Drosophila melanogaster: one gene and its partner. The gene in region 1 interacts genetically with each later gene. Each region holds a gene or a part of one and is shown on either strand. Other genes may lie near its edges.

What was found. Genes that interact genetically often act in the same process or in processes that back each other up.
Region 2: of Pgant4 (region 1) and Tango1, changing one suppresses a phenotype caused by changing the other (phenotypic suppression), as found in Drosophila melanogaster (one study listed by BioGRID).

Annotation. Positions count from the first base shown.
Region 1 is NT_033779.5:3,469,428-3,476,702, forward strand, and holds Pgant4 (polypeptide N-Acetylgalactosaminyltransferase 4), read left to right. Parts: upstream 1-3,175; 5' UTR 3,176-3,375; coding exon 3,376-3,875; intron 3,876-3,934; coding exon 3,935-4,277; intron 4,278-4,342; coding exon 4,343-4,771; intron 4,772-4,840; coding exon 4,841-5,503; 3' UTR 5,504-5,911; downstream 5,912-7,275. Other genes in the region: Pif1 DNA helicase, read right to left, coding at 1-467; CG31776 (uncharacterized protein), read left to right, coding at 787-1,253, 1,307-1,649, 1,710-2,132, 2,239-2,898. UniProt on the Drosophila melanogaster protein: Glycopeptide transferase involved in O-linked oligosaccharide biosynthesis, which catalyzes the transfer of an N-acetyl-D-galactosamine residue to an already glycosylated peptide.
Region 2 is NT_033779.5:6,645,836-6,655,922, forward strand, and holds Tango1 (transport and golgi organization 1), read left to right. Parts: upstream 1-3,552; 5' UTR 3,553-3,697; coding exon 3,698-3,845; intron 3,846-3,951; coding exon 3,952-6,060; intron 6,061-6,172; coding exon 6,173-6,609; intron 6,610-6,661; coding exon 6,662-6,794; intron 6,795-6,917; coding exon 6,918-7,542; intron 7,543-7,599; coding exon 7,600-7,701; intron 7,702-7,759; coding exon 7,760-8,498; 3' UTR 8,499-8,739; downstream 8,740-10,087. Other genes in the region: CG31635 (uncharacterized protein), read right to left, coding at 137-833; CG31633 (uncharacterized protein), read right to left, coding at 9,062-9,178, 9,235-10,087. UniProt on the Drosophila melanogaster protein: Required for protein secretion. May participate in cargo loading by binding to COPII coat subunits and guiding SH3-bound proteins into a growing carrier.

The DNA of each region.
Region 1 (7,275 bases):
CCCGCCTTTTTGCGCGCCAAAATCATCTCGGCCGTGGTGACTGGAGAAACGTCGTTAAAGCTGCTTGGCTTGCCTGACATCAGGTGCTCGCGGAGTTTCTTCTGCAAGGTCGCATCGTCCGGCTGGGATCCTCCCTCGTTTCCGTTCATTTTAACGAAGATCGTCCGCAGGAAGAACATCAAAGTCCCCGGCGGTGCATTCGATAGATAGAGGGTGCACTTCTCCGCCTTGAAGTTGAAGGTGGCCTTGCCCTCGGACATGAACTTCTTGTGCACCATCAGATCCTTCAGCTTGAACTTCAGGGGCTTTAGTTTCTCCGGCGTCACCTCAACAAACAATTCACGCAAATCGTTCCGCACCAGGCGCAATGTGGCAGTCTTGTAGGCCAGTTTGCGACCCGTGATGCCCACCGCATTGGTCCACTCCATGTTCACCGCACAGGTGAGCACTGCGTCATTGAGATCCATGGCGAAATTAACTTCACTTCAGTCAGTTTCCGATTAAATTAAATTAAATACAAAAGCCAAATCTTTTCCATGCGCTTGGTCGCCGATCGGCTTATCGATATCAGCGTAAAATTATCGATATCACATCGGATGGCGTGAACGCATCATGATCGTGCACAAGTATGTTATAAAGTAGCAAAGTTCCACTCCAGGATCAGCTGTGTTACAATTCCGTTACAATTTAAATTGCTACATTTAAGGATTACAAAACAAGTAGGCCAGGAAAAGTAATTTGCTATGCCTATAACTTTCAATTGCACACTAATTAAGAAATATCACCATGAATGTGGATCTGAGATTGATTGTGCGCCTGTTGCTGGCCATTCTATTGACTTCCTTGGTAACTACCATTTTAATGGGCAAGCAGATACACAGAAGACTCGTGAAGTCCATGGTCAAAACAACCGGCGAAAAGGATAGTTTGCCAGCAAGGCAGCTCCCAAAAAGGGAGATCAGCCCGAAGGTCGCAGATTTCCCACCACCACTAACACTGAACCAAACTGAACTGGACATCTTAAAGATCCAGCGAAACAATAGTTTCCGCCTGCCCCAGCAAGAAGCTATTAAGGAGTGGCAGGATGCGATTTTCTTTAAAGAGGATAGTAACCGCAGGGGATTGGGTGAGCAGGGAAGAGCAGTTCAGTTACCAAACGCTAAATTAAACCCCGATGATTTCCAAGACTTCTATGCCGAACTCTCCGATCGCATTCCCCTGAACAGATCCTTGCCGGATACCAGACCTATAAGGTTAGTTCCTATGAAGTTTAAAATACTATACAATTTAAAGACTAAGAACTTAGTTGCCGGAAACGGAAGTATCTGGAGAACCTACCCAATGTGACAGTGATAATAGCCTTTCACGATGAACACCTAAGCGTTTTGCTAAGATCTATAACGAGCATTATAAATCGATCTCCTGTTGAGTTACTCAAGCAGATTGTGCTCGTGGATGACGATAGTAATTTGCCGGAATTGGGACAACAACTGGAAGAGATTGTGGCTCAAAACTTTCCGAAAATTATTCACATACTAAGACTTCCAGAACGACGTGGTTCCATCAAAGCGAGAATGGAGGCAATCAGGGTGTCCAGCTGTCAAGTTTTGGTCTTTCTAGACTCCCACATCGAAGTCAACACCAATTGGGTAATATTTAAAAAGGAATCAATTAATGTGGATAAATCTAGATAATTTCCTACTTTATAGTTGCCTCCCTTGCTGGAACCTATAGTTATTAACCCACATATAGTCACCCGTCCCATTTTGGATGCCATCTCACGCAAGACATTTGCCTATGCCAAACAAAATACGATGACTCGCTCCGGTTTCAATTGGTGGCTTGAGTCTGAGAGCTTACCAATTTTTCCTGAGGATAAAAGTCCTGATTCCACACCCTACCGTACACCGGTTTTATCAGGAGCTATGGCGATTGACAGGAACTATTTCTTGAATCTGGGGGGATTTGATGAGCAGCTGGACACCTGGGAAGCCGAGAAGTTCGAGATAAGTTTTAAGGTCTGGATGTGTGGTGGAATGATGCTGTATGTACCTTGCGCCCGGGTGGGTCACATAGGTAAAAGACCCATGAAATCGATTAGTAGTCCAGGATACCACAATTTTCTGGCCAGGGTAAGTGGAAAAACAACTCAAAACATGGGGGGTGGCGTATACGTAATATATTGTTTAACCTATTAAGAATATTACAACATAATTTAATAAGAGGATCTCTCCCTAGAACTACAAGCGAGTAGCTGAAGTTTGGATGGATAATTACAAAAAGTATGTGTACGACAAGAATCCGAAGCTCTATAAGATGGCCAATGCTGGTCTGCTTTTCCAAAGGAAAACCAAGAGAAATGCTCTGGAGTGCAAGACCTTCGATTGGTACATGACCAAGGTGGCTCCGGATTTTCTTAAAAGGTACCTAGCATTGGATTCGCCTTTGGTTTTCTCCGGGGTCATTGAAAGTGTGGCATTTCCTGGATTCTGTGTGGACTCCCTGAATTGTAGACACACTAAGCCCGTGGTTTTAGCCCGGTGCACTGGGCATAATTCAATGCCCGGCGAGCATCAGAACTGGTCCTTAACGCAGGATCATGAGATTCAACTGACGAACAGCAAAGATGATTGCTTGGAAGCGCAGGGCCTACGCTCAAAGTCGGTGTGGCTCTTTCGTTGTCACAAAAATGGTGGGAATCAGTACTGGTACTACAATCACCGTCATCGGTGGATCCAACAGGGCCAAATATGGGTGTGGTGCCTGGAAGCCCAATTGGCTAGTGGTCATAAGGTTGGCAAGGTTCTGGCCAATAAAATCTGCGATAAAAACCAACTGGAACAGCAGTGGAAAGTTGGGCGAAATGCGCCATATGATCCACAAAGGGAGCCTCATTAATATGTATAGCACAGCAATTATTAAAATAAATATTTAAATACAATTTTAGATACGAATTTTGCCTTATATGAAAGTATGCCTTCAGATACAGATGGCGCTCACGCCAATCCCCAGCCCAGTTCAAAGAGTGCCTGTGCAGATGGCGCCACCATGACGCGCGCTCCGCTAATTTGAATTCGCATGCAGAGATATTTCGTATATTATTGTTCTTTTCGCCCGACTTTTTCTCAGGTGAGTGTGGGATCTGGGCCTGACCTTACACGTCACCGGGCAGCCGACTCGTCTGCCACTGATTGATAGTGGAGAAGCGTGTTTTTTGTGGCCAACTGAAAATGTGAAAACTTCTTCGCCGCCTTATCACTGAGTCGCGGTTTCCCAATTACACTAATGGCTGTGCTTTTTGCCAGGTGGCTGCTCCTCTGCTGCATCGGCATGCCAGCAGTCAGTATTTTGGACTTCCGCCGCCAAGACGTCCACATGGCCATAAAAAAGAGATATGTAAAGCGCCTGTTGCGCAAGGTGGTCCTCCTCTTGGTGGTCATCGTCACTGTGTCCTTGGTCACCACTTTGGTGGTCGAACGGCGAATGAAAAATGCGGCGGAGCTGACGGAACAACTCGATCCGAATGGAGATCCCATAACGCCCGTTTTTAGGGCTGCCAATATACATCCAACTCGGAAAGCGCCACGACCACCATTTCAGGATCGCAACTCCGTGGTAGATATTCCGAGAAGTGACAAACTCCAGGGATTCCGACTACCGGAACCGAAGGGAGAGCGCAAGGATTGGCACGACTATGCGGCCATGGAGGCGGATAGAAAGCGATCCGGTTTCGGTGAGCACGGAGTAGCCGTAAAGATCGAAAATCCCGATGAGAAGCAGTTGGAAAAGGAGCACTACGAGATGAACGGCTTTAATGGCCTCATATCGGATAGAATCTCCGTCAATCGATCTGTGCCAGACCTCAGACTCGAGGCGTAAGTACATTCCCCATAGCGTGTTATCAATAGTTAAAACACTTATCTTATCTTTACAGTTGCAAGACCCGGAAGTATCTGGCCAAGTTGCCCAATATCAGCGTGATTTTCATCTTCTTCAACGAGCACTTTAACACCCTGTTGAGATCGATATACAGTGTGATAAATCGCACTCCACCGGAATTACTTAAGCAAATTGTGCTCGTGGACGATGGCAGCGAGTGGGATGTTCTGAAGCAGCCTTTGGACGACTACGTCCAGCAGCACTTTCCACATCTGGTGACTATAGTGCGCAATCCGGAGAGACAAGGTCTAATTGGAGCCAGAATAGCTGGAGCCAAGGTGGCAGTGGGACAAGTGATGGTGTTCTTTGATTCTCACATAGAAGTCAACTACAATTGGGTAGGATTTTCTAGTAAGCAATATGTTTGGATACAGAAGAATACTCTATGTTGCTATATTTACAGCTGCCTCCCCTGATCGAACCCATTGCCATTAATCCCAAGATCTCCACCTGCCCCATGGTGGATACTATTTCGCATGAAGATTTCTCTTACTTTAGCGGAAATAAGGACGGAGCACGAGGTGGATTCGATTGGAAGATGCTGTACAAACAGCTTCCGGTTCTGCCCGAAGATGCGCTGGACAAGTCCATGCCGTACCGGAGTCCCGTGATGATGGGCGGTCTATTTGCCATCAACACGGACTTCTTTTGGGATCTGGGCGGATACGACGACCAGTTGGACATCTGGGGCGGTGAGCAGTACGAGCTGAGTTTCAAGATCTGGATGTGTGGCGGTATGCTGCTGGATGTTCCCTGCTCGAGGGTGGCACACATATTCCGGGGACCCATGAAGCCAAGGGGCAATCCAAGGGGACACAACTTTGTGGCCAAGGTGGGTGCTACTCTCTAACCAGTTCTACTTTTTTAATTCTAATTATATTTGGTTTTAAATCTCATTTAGAACCACAAGCGCGTGGCAGAGGTTTGGATGGATGAGTATAAGCAATATGTGTACAAACGCGATCCGAAGACCTATGACAACCTGGATGCCGGAGATCTGACCCGCCAGCGTGGAGTTCGAGAGCGACTCAAGTGCAAGAGTTTCCACTGGTTCATGACGGAGGTGGCGCCTGATTTCCTCGTCAAATTCCCGCCCGTGGAACCACCTAGCTACGCCGCCGGCATCATTCAGAACGTGGCCAACCCGGTCTATTGCCTGGACAACATGGGCAAGTCCACCGAGGAGGCGGTGGGTATGTTCAGCTGTGCGGACAATAGGACCCATCCGCAACCGAATCAGTTTTGGGAGCTCTCCATATTCCGAGACCTCCGGATGAAGGGCTTCGATTCAGTGTGCCTGGATGTGCACGAGGGACCGCCGAATGCCACCGTTTGGATGTGGAGCTGCCACAGTCAGGGTGGCAATCAGTTCTGGTACTATGACAGGCAAACCCAAAGGTTGGTTCACGGAGAGAACAACAAGCGCTGCCTGGAGGGATTTGTGGAGAACGGCATAGCCAAGGTGGTGGCCAATTCCTGCGAGAATGGCAACGATCGCCAGCGCTGGGAGTTCGGATTCGTGAACCACACTATGCTGGACACCTTCTACGATGGATTAAAGTAGACTTTCATCCACGAGCCACTAACAATTCGAGTAACCACAGGCCAGATGTCGATCGGTTCAGGTCGGGGACCGCGATCGTCACGGGTTTAGTTCATTGTTCGTTGTGAAGGTTTCTGAAAAAAAAAGTTCGCTAAGTAAATTCCATTTTTCCATTAATTCTTGCCCCATGCATTATTGATATATGGCAGCGGAAAGTGAAAGATCTGGACAGGCAGATCGCAATCGGAGCGAGGATTCTGTCCGATCGCGAGCCACAAACTCTGATCTTTATTTGCTGTACGTACACTATATTTAGGTATTAATGTTTCGAAGAGATCCTCGACTACTTGTAAAGTTAAGAGATCGTAACTATGTGAAATTAAACAATAATAAAAGTTACAAGTGTATTGTAGAATCAATAAATACCTTAAACATTTTCTTTTTATATAATATAGATGTAATCGATGTAGTGAGAGCATCTGTAGTACTTCTTCACTTCCGATTTGAATTTTCGACTGTCGCAAAACCTTATCAGCAGGGCTGTTGACCTTTCTACAAAAGGAGAAAGAGGAGTCGGTAAGAGGTAGCAGACACCAGATAGACTAGAGAAGTTCCCACCCCTCCGAGGTCTGAAGTCCGAGATCACCAAAAAAAAAAAAAAAACCAGACATATTGTTAAGCTGATGTAATTTAAGACGCAGTTGCGCGATTGTCCCAGGAGAGGACGAAGATCGAAGATCCCTGGATGAATGTGGATGGATGGCAGCAGGCAATGACTTAGCGTCAAGCTGTCTCGATCTTGGGCTGGCTTTATCCTTATCTATGCAGTTCATTATCTACCAAACGAAAGCACATGCTAATTTATAGACAACGTGATGTTGTTTTGCTCATTTCCTCCGCATTTTTTTTCTCGTCGCTTTTCATATTTTGTGCATAAACAAAGTCAAGTGATTTGATTTTTTGGCCAACGCGACGGCGACGCCGCTTCTCAATCGGATTCACCGAATGTGGGTCATCGACGTCAGCGGAGATGGGGGTCTTATTTGCTTCGGAAGATTCCCTTTGTTAGGGCAGTTCACTTGTTGATGGGCGTTTGGTAATAGATAACAAAAATGGTCAAGTAGTACTTGTATATCTGCGAGTTTTCTTGGAAACTTACTTACCACTGAATAAAATGTGATTTCCATCTTAAGTAGGATGGGTAGATAATAAGCTATATGATATTCACTCTATAAATAATTTGAATTGGTAAACCACAATACATAGTCCTAAATACCTTTATATTATATTGCAATAATACAGCACATTCATTGATTTGATTACCACGTGTATTTGGCAGAGTATATAAATATCATTGGACTTTTTTGTTTACGTTTCTCATGGTTTTCGCTCTAGCCGAAAAATATAAACAAGTCGATGTCGTCTAGCCCATTCACAACCATCTCAGACTCGTTTGGGAATAGAACCCACCGATGGTAATGACCCACCGTTCGTCCGTATGTTTCACGCAATTCGATGGTGCAATTTCATCAGCCTCCCCGAAAAAGATTTCATCCGAATTTCACTATATATGTACGTATGTATTACCTGTCCCCCGGCGGATGGGAAAAACACCCCTCGGCGCTTAGAGAACCGGCTAGGAATATCTCAAGACGCATTTTAACTTGGCTGCAACGCAGTAGGAAAACTGCCTGCCGTCTCTTTCCTCGCGGCTATAGGCCTGTCTCTCTCTCTTTGCGCAGGTACATCATATTGTATCTGATGAAAACGAAAGCAAAATCCGAACTGGTTTC
Region 2 (10,087 bases), 3.2 Mb from region 1:
TTAGTAAGCACTTTAGCGAGCTAAGAATTTCGTCACTCTAGTTTAAATATGATCCGCATGGGTCATCAAAATGTGATATGCCATATCACTACCCCAAAATTAAATTAAAAAAATAAATTGTCATGACAAAACTCACCTTGCTTCCAAGGATTGGCCGGCTCCAGGTAGCCGGTGACCAGCTGGTTATCCGGAAACGAGACGCGTCGCGCAATGGACGAGGTGAGCGAGCTGTCCGATGATTTTCGCTGCAGGAGGCTGGGCGCCGTCGACAGGATGATGCCCCTGGGGGGCAGGCCCAGGGCTCCAGTGACTCCTCCGCCAGCGACAGTGCCACCGACACCACCTGCAACACCTCCTGATCCCGAACTGACGAAATCCGGGCAGATGGTCGAGCTGGGATTGGAGGCCAGCGAATCGGTGCGCCACACGGCCGTCTGCTTGGCATCGTGGTATATCTTGATCTTGTGTCGTTGCTGCGTTCGCATCTGAGCATCGAATGCGGTCGCTTCAGTAGCTGCAGCCGCAGCAGCAGTCGCATCAACGATCGGCGCAGCAGTCGCATCAGCTGTTTGTGCTAATTTCGTTCGCTCTGCCACAGCTGCTGTTGTTGTTGTTGCTGGTGTTTGACCCTCAGCTGTTGCACTTGTTTCCCCTACGCCAGCTGATGTCTTTGCTGCAGCAGCAGATGTTGTTGCAAGGTGCGTGGCAATTGTTGGCTCCGTTCCATTGCCTTCTGTTGTTGCTGCTGCTGCAGTTGTTGTTGTGATTGGGGTAGCTGTTGCTGCTGTTGTTGTTGTGTTTGGCTCTGCAATGTCGCGATTGTTGTGCAGCATTGTTGCAAAGCGTTTTCAGTTGCCGCTGTCGTTTTCAAGTTTGTCGCTTTTCAAGTTTGCAGAATATCTCGAACTCGTAGTTATTTTTCTTTTTTTTTTTGTTTTGGTTTTGTTTTGTTATGTTTTACATTTAAATACACTTTATTTACACACACCAACACGATTTGGTATCGTATTTTATTCGTATTTTTTTGTTACTTTTGTTGTTTGTGCTTCAAACGTGCGCTTCCCGTTTACATTTTCGAATGCTTTAATGTATTATTCTTTTTTATTTCAACACTACAAATTGAATATCAAAAGCAAATTAATTTCAAAGCGATTTGTATGCCGCTCGCCTACAAAGTAATGTTCGAATTTGTCAAACGCATCGAGTAATCAGCAGGGGCCAGTTTTACAAAACACAAAAAATTTTCCGCTCAAAAATTTCCGCCGTTTCGAACGCACAGTGGGCCCAGCCACAGTTGGTCCAAAACTGTACATCATTCTGTAATGTAATGAATGTAACTGCTTCACTTTTCTCACTTCTCACTTTTTTTATTTGATTTACAGTTAAGCCGTGTTTATTTTAACACAGTGTTATTTATTATCTGTAATATCAGTCTTTAACCCTTCCGACTAATTTCTTTTCACCCCACTGTGCAATGTTAACAAAAGAAAATGGAATATTAAGAAAAGAGACAAAAAGCGCAGAGCAAACGCACACTATCAAACACGAAGCAAGAGAGCAAAAGAGAATGGTATAAAAAACATTACCTAATTGTTATTGTTTTTGTTTGCGTTTGCATTGCCAGAGAAGCAAAAGAGAGAGCCAGAGGGAGAGGGAAAATCGAGAAAAGCCAGTCGCAGATTGTTTGCGATTGTTGTTTGTTATCGCTTTTCCCCTCTGCACTTTTCGCATTTTTGTTTACGTGCCTCTGCAAGTGTGGGTGTGTGTGCGGCTGTACTGCGTGCAAGTGTGAGTGTGTATTTTTGTGGGAATAACACGCGCCCTGTTGCATGCAAAACTCAAATTAAAAGGCAAATTGCAATTGGTAATTACACAGGCAGTCGAAAGGGACAAACAATTGCACGCTCTTACTGCTCACTTTTCCTCGAATTTTGTTTTAGAATAAATACACAAATTACGTCACGCATGTCGGAGGACTACTGAGTTGTTAATGTTTTTTGCGAAGTTTTTCTTTGATTTCCGTGTTTCTTTTGCTCTCCACTTTTATCAGTTTCGGTCAAGATATTTGTATTTGATTTTACGCACCAAGGCTTGGCGCACTTTGTTTCCACGCACCCAAATCTCTTCTTTTTTTTGTTATACAACTTTTGGCGAAGGATTACTCTTTGTGCAGCCAATCAGTTTATGTGGCGTTTTATAGGGCATTTAACAGAACCGCGCTCCATTCAGCATAGCGTGCAGCTATCGACCATTAGGCATCCGCGACCCAACAACAACCGATCACAAAGACGTTGAAAATGCGAAAGATAGAAATAGAAACTGAGTTGCGCATTTTCATGCTGTGTCCAACGGGCGGTGTTGCCAGACTGCCCGCACGCAGGTTTGTGATAAAGGACTGTTTATGCTAAGTTAGAATTCTTGAATTTCATGAAATTACGAATTACGATCGAAATACGTTAACACCAATAATTTCAAAACAAGCATATTCTGAAGCAAGACCGTTTTTCCAATAACTGGACATTGATTATTATAATTAATAAAAGTGATTGAATTAAAACTGAGCTAAAAATAATAGCCCTATTATAGTTTTAGTTCTTTAAAAATTTTTTGAATTGGCGACGTGTAAGCCATTTTAAACTCTGCCGACGATCTGGCAACCCCTCCACGTGTGCTCTTTTCACGCACCCTCTCGCTCACACTCCCTTAAATCGCAAGCAACATACAACATCAAAACAATAAGTTTCTGTACACATGCTCCCGGATTTTCACTTAAATTAGCATCTTAATTATAAACTGCACAAGTTATTGGTTTTAAGGCTACATTATCGGGCATATCACACAAAGTTATCCGCTGCTCTCTTAATCGCTCTCTGAATTCCACAATATGATGTCAGAGGAAACCTTTTTCCGTACACTTCGTAAGGTAATAATAAATTGGAATCCAATACGCCAGCTTTCACTGAGTACTTTGTTGGACACCGGCGACTTTTTTCTAAAAAGCTAGCCCAAATTTTGCGCGTTACATTTTCGGGTGAAGTGCATAAAGGAAAAAAAAAACAAACTTCAATTTTCAAGGTCACTGCTGAAGTTTTCCAGCCACACACACGCACATAGTCCTGTCGTTTGCCACCCACTGCAGCACTCAGAGCGTTCCGAAACCGAGCATTAGGATTATTCAAAGTGAAGAGGCTTACTTCGCACTCAAATTTAGTTACTGGGTTTACAAAATTTCCTCCGATGGAGCCGCGAAACTGGCGAAACAATTTACGAGCTCTGGCCAGTGTTACCAACTGCTCCAAGTTCTCTATATCTGAGTTATTTCGCACAACGCTATCTGGCGCGCATAGTATATGGCATTCGCACTGAGTCGAAAAAGATAGCAGATACTGTGAACTAGAATTCAGATAACTTAAACAGAATGTATTTAAAACATATAAATTTCAAAGGCCATTAAATACAGCAATAAGATTTGATAATAAATCATATCTGTGGAATAGTTGAAACAGACCCGAAATGCCCCTTTCCTATTTCGGTATTTTTCTGAGGCCACACAGCATTCCTTGGCGCACCCAGTACGGTCACACGAATGAAAAGCCAACTCAGCTGAAAGTGAACCCATTTTTATACACAAAAAATTAGTAGCTGCAGCGAAATAAGTTGATTTCACACGACCACTGCGCCCCGAAAACAATGCAAAATGCGGCTGACCAACGAGAAAGCAACAATGCAGCCCCAGCTGAGTGATTTGGCCCTGGTCCTGGGCCTGTTGATCTGCTGTCTTCCAACTTTGACGTGGGCTGCGACTCTCTCCGACAAGCGACTGTGCGCCGACCCGAAATGTGAACGTAAGTTGTAATCTATGGCCAGACAAGTCAGCCTTGGACCTCCGGCACAGCCATGTCTCTTAAAATTGCATAATTAATTTTGCGTTTGTCTGGTTTATGCTTGCAGAAATCATTTCGATGGGCATTGCCAAAATCACCTACGCCATTGGTGGTGAGGGGCTGATATCCTTCAAAATCAACTCCCCCATCCGCGTCCTGTCCAAGAGCGCCGGTTCCAATATGCAACTGTGGGGTGTGGACATCAATGGGCGGCGCGGCTATGCCAATAAGGACTTTATCATGGAAAAGAAGATCCTCGTCCGGGATAAGGATCTATTGTACGAGGTGCCAGTGGTGGGACCTGGTAGTCCAGTGCAGTCAGTGGAGACACCAGTTCAGAGCGTCGAGACGACAGTGCAGCCTGTTCTTAACGCCTCTGAGTCAACCGATGATCTGGCAACGACTACAACGTCACCACTTGAGATAGCCGTTGATTCAATAGTGGTTGAGCACGACAAGCTGCAGGATCAGCAGGTTCCTGATCCTACTGCGGCTTCCAAGGCCCAAGTGCAGGTTATAGAAGGAACTGAGCTTCCCCTGGAGGCCATTGCAGCTACAACGGAAGGTAGCATTGTTCCAGAGACGGCAGCAGACCCCCAAGAAGCAACAAATCTCGACTCGACAGTTGTTGATACGAAAGAGCCACAGGCATTAAATTCGGAGGCCATTAAATTGCAGGAAGAGCCAAAAGCACAGCAACCTGCCACAGAAGCTGAGAAACCTCCCCCACTGCCCCAGGCTATCAACGCTGAACTGGAAGACGCTGACGATTTCGATTACGGGGATGACGAGACAGATGACGACTCCCAACAAGGTAGTCAAGATAACGAATCGATCGTAGAGATAGCAAACGATAACAAATCAATTAACGAATCGATTGAACTGAAACCACTTTCGGTCGCGCAACTGAAGAAAACAGATAAAGTGGAGGATTCAAAGGATGAGACTAAAGAAAAGCATGCAGAAATGGAAGTCTCCAAGCAGGAAGATTCTTCCTTACCCACTGAGACCTTAAATGTGACGGCACTCGAAGAGCAAATTGATCAGAAGGAATTTCCGAAGCAGGTACTGGATGCAGCCGTGGAATTAAAGTCGTCAGATCCTCTGCCAGTTGAGGAGGTCACCGAAACTGTGGCTGAGCCACCACGAACGATTGTCGAAGATAAAATTAATGAAGAAATAGTTCCGGTTTCAGCTAAAATCCAAGCAAAGCCTGCAACAGTTAACCCTACCGAACCTATTGTTGCTCAATCTGATGCGGAAATAAAAGCGCCATCTGAGTCAGTAATCAGTTCAACCACTCCCGCTCCTGTCGTTGAAGAGGCACCACAGAAAGCAGATCCTGTTGGTCTGCCGCCCCTCTTTGAAAAGAAGAACTTTGAGAATCCCAATAATTATTACAAGCAATTGCAGGAGGAACAGGAAAAACAGAGACTAGTTGCAGAGGCGGAGGAGCAAAAGCGTTTACAAGAGGAAGCGGATCAGCAGAAGAGGTTGCAAGAGGAAGCTGCGCTGAATAAAAGGTTACTCGAAGAAGCCGAGCAACAGAAAAGGTTACAAGAGGAAGCGGAGCAGCAGAAGAGATTGCAAGAGGAAGCTGAGCTGAATAAAAGGTTACTCGAAGAAGCCGAGAAACAGAAAAGGTTACACGAAGAATCAGAGCAGCTGCAGCGCTCAAGTGAGGAAGCGGAGCCACAACTGAGCGTTCAGGAAGCCAACATGCAGCAGCTTAATGACTCTGTGGATTCGCAGTCCAACGAAATCGTTGATAACAACAATAGGCAGCAGCCAGAGCAATATCAGCAGCACCATCATCATACAGAAAGTGCCTTTAATCATCCATCGACTGCATCACATACAACTCCAACGCCTGACGCCGAATCACCGTACGCAGCAGTCCAGGAGGAGACCACAGAAGCATCCCAAACGGATAACCATCGTGAGGGAGTTGGTTACGTGGAGCCTGTAGCTCTGCCAGCGACGGCTAGCCCCGTGTCGGAAGTACCTATCAAGGAGGACGCCGCAGGCTTTGGTCTCTTTGCCACAATTGTCGACACCGTAAACAATTTTATCGGAAAGGATCCTCAGAGTGATCCAGCAGATAGCAGCGATGAATTGCATAGAATCCTCTATCCAGGAAGGCCTGAAGTGCCACCTTCTCAAAGGAAGGCGGAAGGTGATGCTTATTCATTTACTAAATCATTATTACCATACGATTCTTCAGAAATTAGAGAGAATATCCGGTCCGGTTTTGTTACATACTATACCTTTTTTTTTACATATTCCAGACTTTGCTCCTGCCGATGTGGATGGATATTGTGCCCGGTTTCAAGCCAAAGATGAGCACTGTCATCGCTCTATATCTCTTGATAATTTTGTTGAAGTAATGGCCGACAAGCTGGTTGACCACAGCCAACTTTTACTTTGCGTGGTTATCGCCGCGATTTCTTCCTTGTTCTTCATGTTTGCATACTACTGCTTCTGCAATAGTAGTCAGGAGGGAGCGCTTCTTTCGAAGCTGAACCATTTGGAGCGCAGTCTGTTGGCCTCCCACAAGGAGAACCTGATCATCAAACACGACCTGATGACTACGCGAACAAAGTTGGCCAGCATTGAGGACAATTCCTTCGGCTCAAACGACATGGTGGCCGATCTCAAGAAGCAACTTGAATCTGAGCTGTACGAGAAGGCTAAGCTGCAGGAACAGGTTGGCTCATTAGAAAGGGTAGGTCCATATTATTTAATCAAATAAACGCTTACAAGGATCTCTTTACAAGGATCTGGATAACGCGGCTGAGGCTGGCCTGGAGCTCAACAAGATGCTGTCCGAAGTCCTTAACGGTCAGAATGGCGATGAGGCTTTCATGAGCACCGTCGACGAACTGCAGCGACAGCTTAATGACCAAGAAAGTGAGGAACCGCCGTTGATTAATACTTATACTAATGTGACTTTTTGATGACTACTTATTTAACCATTTAGTATCCAAAGCAGTTTCCTGTTCAATGCAGATTCTAACTCCATAACTTTTGCAGAGATCATCATCGAAATCAACAACAGTCTGGCCGAGAAAAGTAGGGAGAACAGCGAACTGCAGTATACGTTTACGGAGGCCACGACTCGGCTCAACAGCGAGCTGAAGACGCTACAAGAGGACAACTACGAGTTGGAGATGGAGAAGTCTAAGCTGCAAACTCGTCTTCAGGAAATTCAGGCTGAAACGGAATCGGAATTGGCCAAGGCACTGGAAGCCAGAAATTACGAAATGCAAAAGCTGCAGAATCAGATTGTTGAGCTGACTGTCAAGTGGGAGCGCGAACATGGCGATCTGCAGACCAGTCTAGCAAAGATCGAAGCTCTCGAAGATTGCCTGAAGGCAGTCGGAAAGGATGCGATCCACAATGTCCAAGAGCTGATTACCTCGGCCAAGACACGCGGTGAACTCAACGCGGTCCATAAGAAGCTGGTCGAGTTGCAGTCGAAGGTGGAGCAAGAAGAGGCCCACAAGCAACGTCTGGAGAGTCAGCTGCAGCAGTCAAGTCAAGATGTGGAGCAGCTGAAGCAGGACTTCAACCAATCAGAGCGCGATAAGCTAGAAGCCCAGACGCGTCTTGAAGTCTTATCCGGCTACTTCAGGGAGAAGGAGAACGATCTTAAGAAGTAGTTTATCAAGAAACACATTTGAGGAAAGTCTTTATCTCTTAATTACCATTTCAGAGAACTTAGTCTGCAGGAGACCAAGTGGCTGCAGCACCAGGGAGAGAATGCCAGCACAGTTGAGACCCAGACGCTGATGAAGAACGAAATCCAAACTCTGAAGTAAGTCAAAATCGCGCATTATCGCTTTCAAGAAATGTTAAAATCCATTTCGCCTTAGATCTCAGAATGACGAGCTGCGTGCCGAGATCGAGGCCCAGATAGCCTCGCACAAAGCTCAGATGGGCACGCTGGAGAACCGAGCTCATGAGTCCTGGCTGGCAGCGCGCCAGTCGGAGCGCCGTTGCGAAGAAGCGTTGGCCGAAGCTGCCAGCCTGAGGCGTAAGCTGACCACAATGGCCAGCGGCGGAGGAGGAGTAGGCGGAGATCCAGGCGTAATGGAGGCCATCGCCGCCAACGGAACTTCCGTGCTGGGGGCGGAACTGAAAACGGCTCCATCGCCGCTTCCCTTGCCGGGTTCACCACTGCTGAACATGCCAAATCCACTGCCATTCCTGGCGGCACCCTTCTCACCGTTCATGGGTCTGCCGCCGCCATTCCTGCCTCCAACTGGAGCGGGAGGGGCACGTCCTCCGCCCCTGGGACGCATGCGCTCTCCGCCGCCCTCGAGTCGCGGCGATCGGGATCGAGAGCGTTACTCAGACTACAGCGACTACGATGACTACGACGACGATGAGGAGGACGACCGGGGCATGGACCGTCGTCGACGGCACAGCGGCAGCTGGGGTCGCCGGCATCGCGGCTCCTACAGCCACTCGCCGCGCACATATCGCTCGCTATCACCGTCGGACAGTCGGTACAACTACAATGACACGGAGACTGACTTCAGTCCGCCCCCAAGTCCGCCGCCCGTTCCGTCGGGACGCAGCGCGACATCGCGACCCTACAGCGAGGTATGAGGAGCAGGGTGTGCCCGTGCAACCAAGTCCTACCAAGTATATTAGACTCAAAACTAGTTCAAATATATTTATTAATCAACGATTATCGAACGGTGGGATCGGGGCGGGTCGGGACGACCTCTCAAACCGATTCCCCAAAACAGGGATCTCAGGAGAGTTCGTGAACAACTAAGAAAACTCCTGTCTCAGCGGTGAATGATATCCAAGAAAATTGAAACAAATTAAACGCAATGACAAACACAAATCCAATGTGAGCTGTTTTTACTGTGGAATTGAAAAATATTCATTTTCTCTGAACAAACATTTTTAAATAATCAGCATGGCACATTTTTAATATGATATTAATTTCTGAGAGGTAAGATTATGTATTATACATCATTTATTGAAAACTACAAATAATTGAATACACGAACTTAGAACCGGTTTATATTTTTATATTATATTTATATATTATTATCAGCAATCATTTTAATAACCAGCTTATCGACGAAAGACTTATCAATTAAATAGCACAATTTTGGTCCGTTTAGATAATAGTTAACTAAGCTAGTTAACTTAGTGAATCACGACTCGGGGCGTTTAAATTCCAATTCAATACATTCGTCAGGTAATTGTGAATAGCTGCTACTAGTAGCACTGAAGGAAACATTAAGTTTGGGATGTTTAAAGTGCTTCGAAACCTGCGAAAGAGTATGAGTTTTAGGATCAGTACTTTATAAATCAGTTATGTACGCACCAAGTCATCCTTGCCGGTTTTATAAAAATGCATTTTCAAAGGCTTCGTTCGCTGATTTAGAGCGCGGTTCATTGTTGACTTGCTGAAGGCAAAGAACTCGTCGTACAAAACATGGTTGATCATGCTGAATTCCCTGAGACGGGGACAGGCAAGAAGCACGTCCCATATACCATCGGCGTTGACCCATATACGCGAGTTCTCCAGATGCAGTTGCTCCAAGAGCGGAAAGCAATAGGTGATCGTGGAAAAGTCAATGGCAGCACATCCTTCATCATCGACGAGAGTTAAACATCGGAGATTTCGCAGTTTGGCCAGCACCTCCGTTGGCCTCATCCAGATATTATTACTGAATGCGGCAGTCAACACATCTTGACCCCTTATGCTTCCAATTTCGCACAGTAGATCGTCCACCTGGTAGAAGTTGTGCAGGCGCAGCTTTATCAGTTTAGGCAGGCTCAACAGTTGGCTGATGTTGTCCCTGTTTAGGTAAACTATGTCCAGCTCCAGCTCCTCCAGTTCATGCAGCATACAGATGGATCGCACGTATGCATTCTGTTCGATCTTTTGCCACTGGATACTGAGTGTCTGTAGTCGCAGGTTTTGACAGATATCCTCGAAGCCCTGCGGGCTCAGGTACCAGCACAGCTGAAGGTCCAGTCGGCGAATGTTCCGCCAACGACTGATGTGGTTACCAGTAGTCTTCCCGCTCAGCCTGATGGCTTCCAGCTGCGGGAAGCAGTCCACCAGAATGGCGATGTCGGCGTCTCCTTCTATTTCACTGGTCTCATCGCCCAAGTAGATCAATTGACGCATGTTGGGGAAGGTGTGACCCTTCCACCGCTCCAGGTGATCC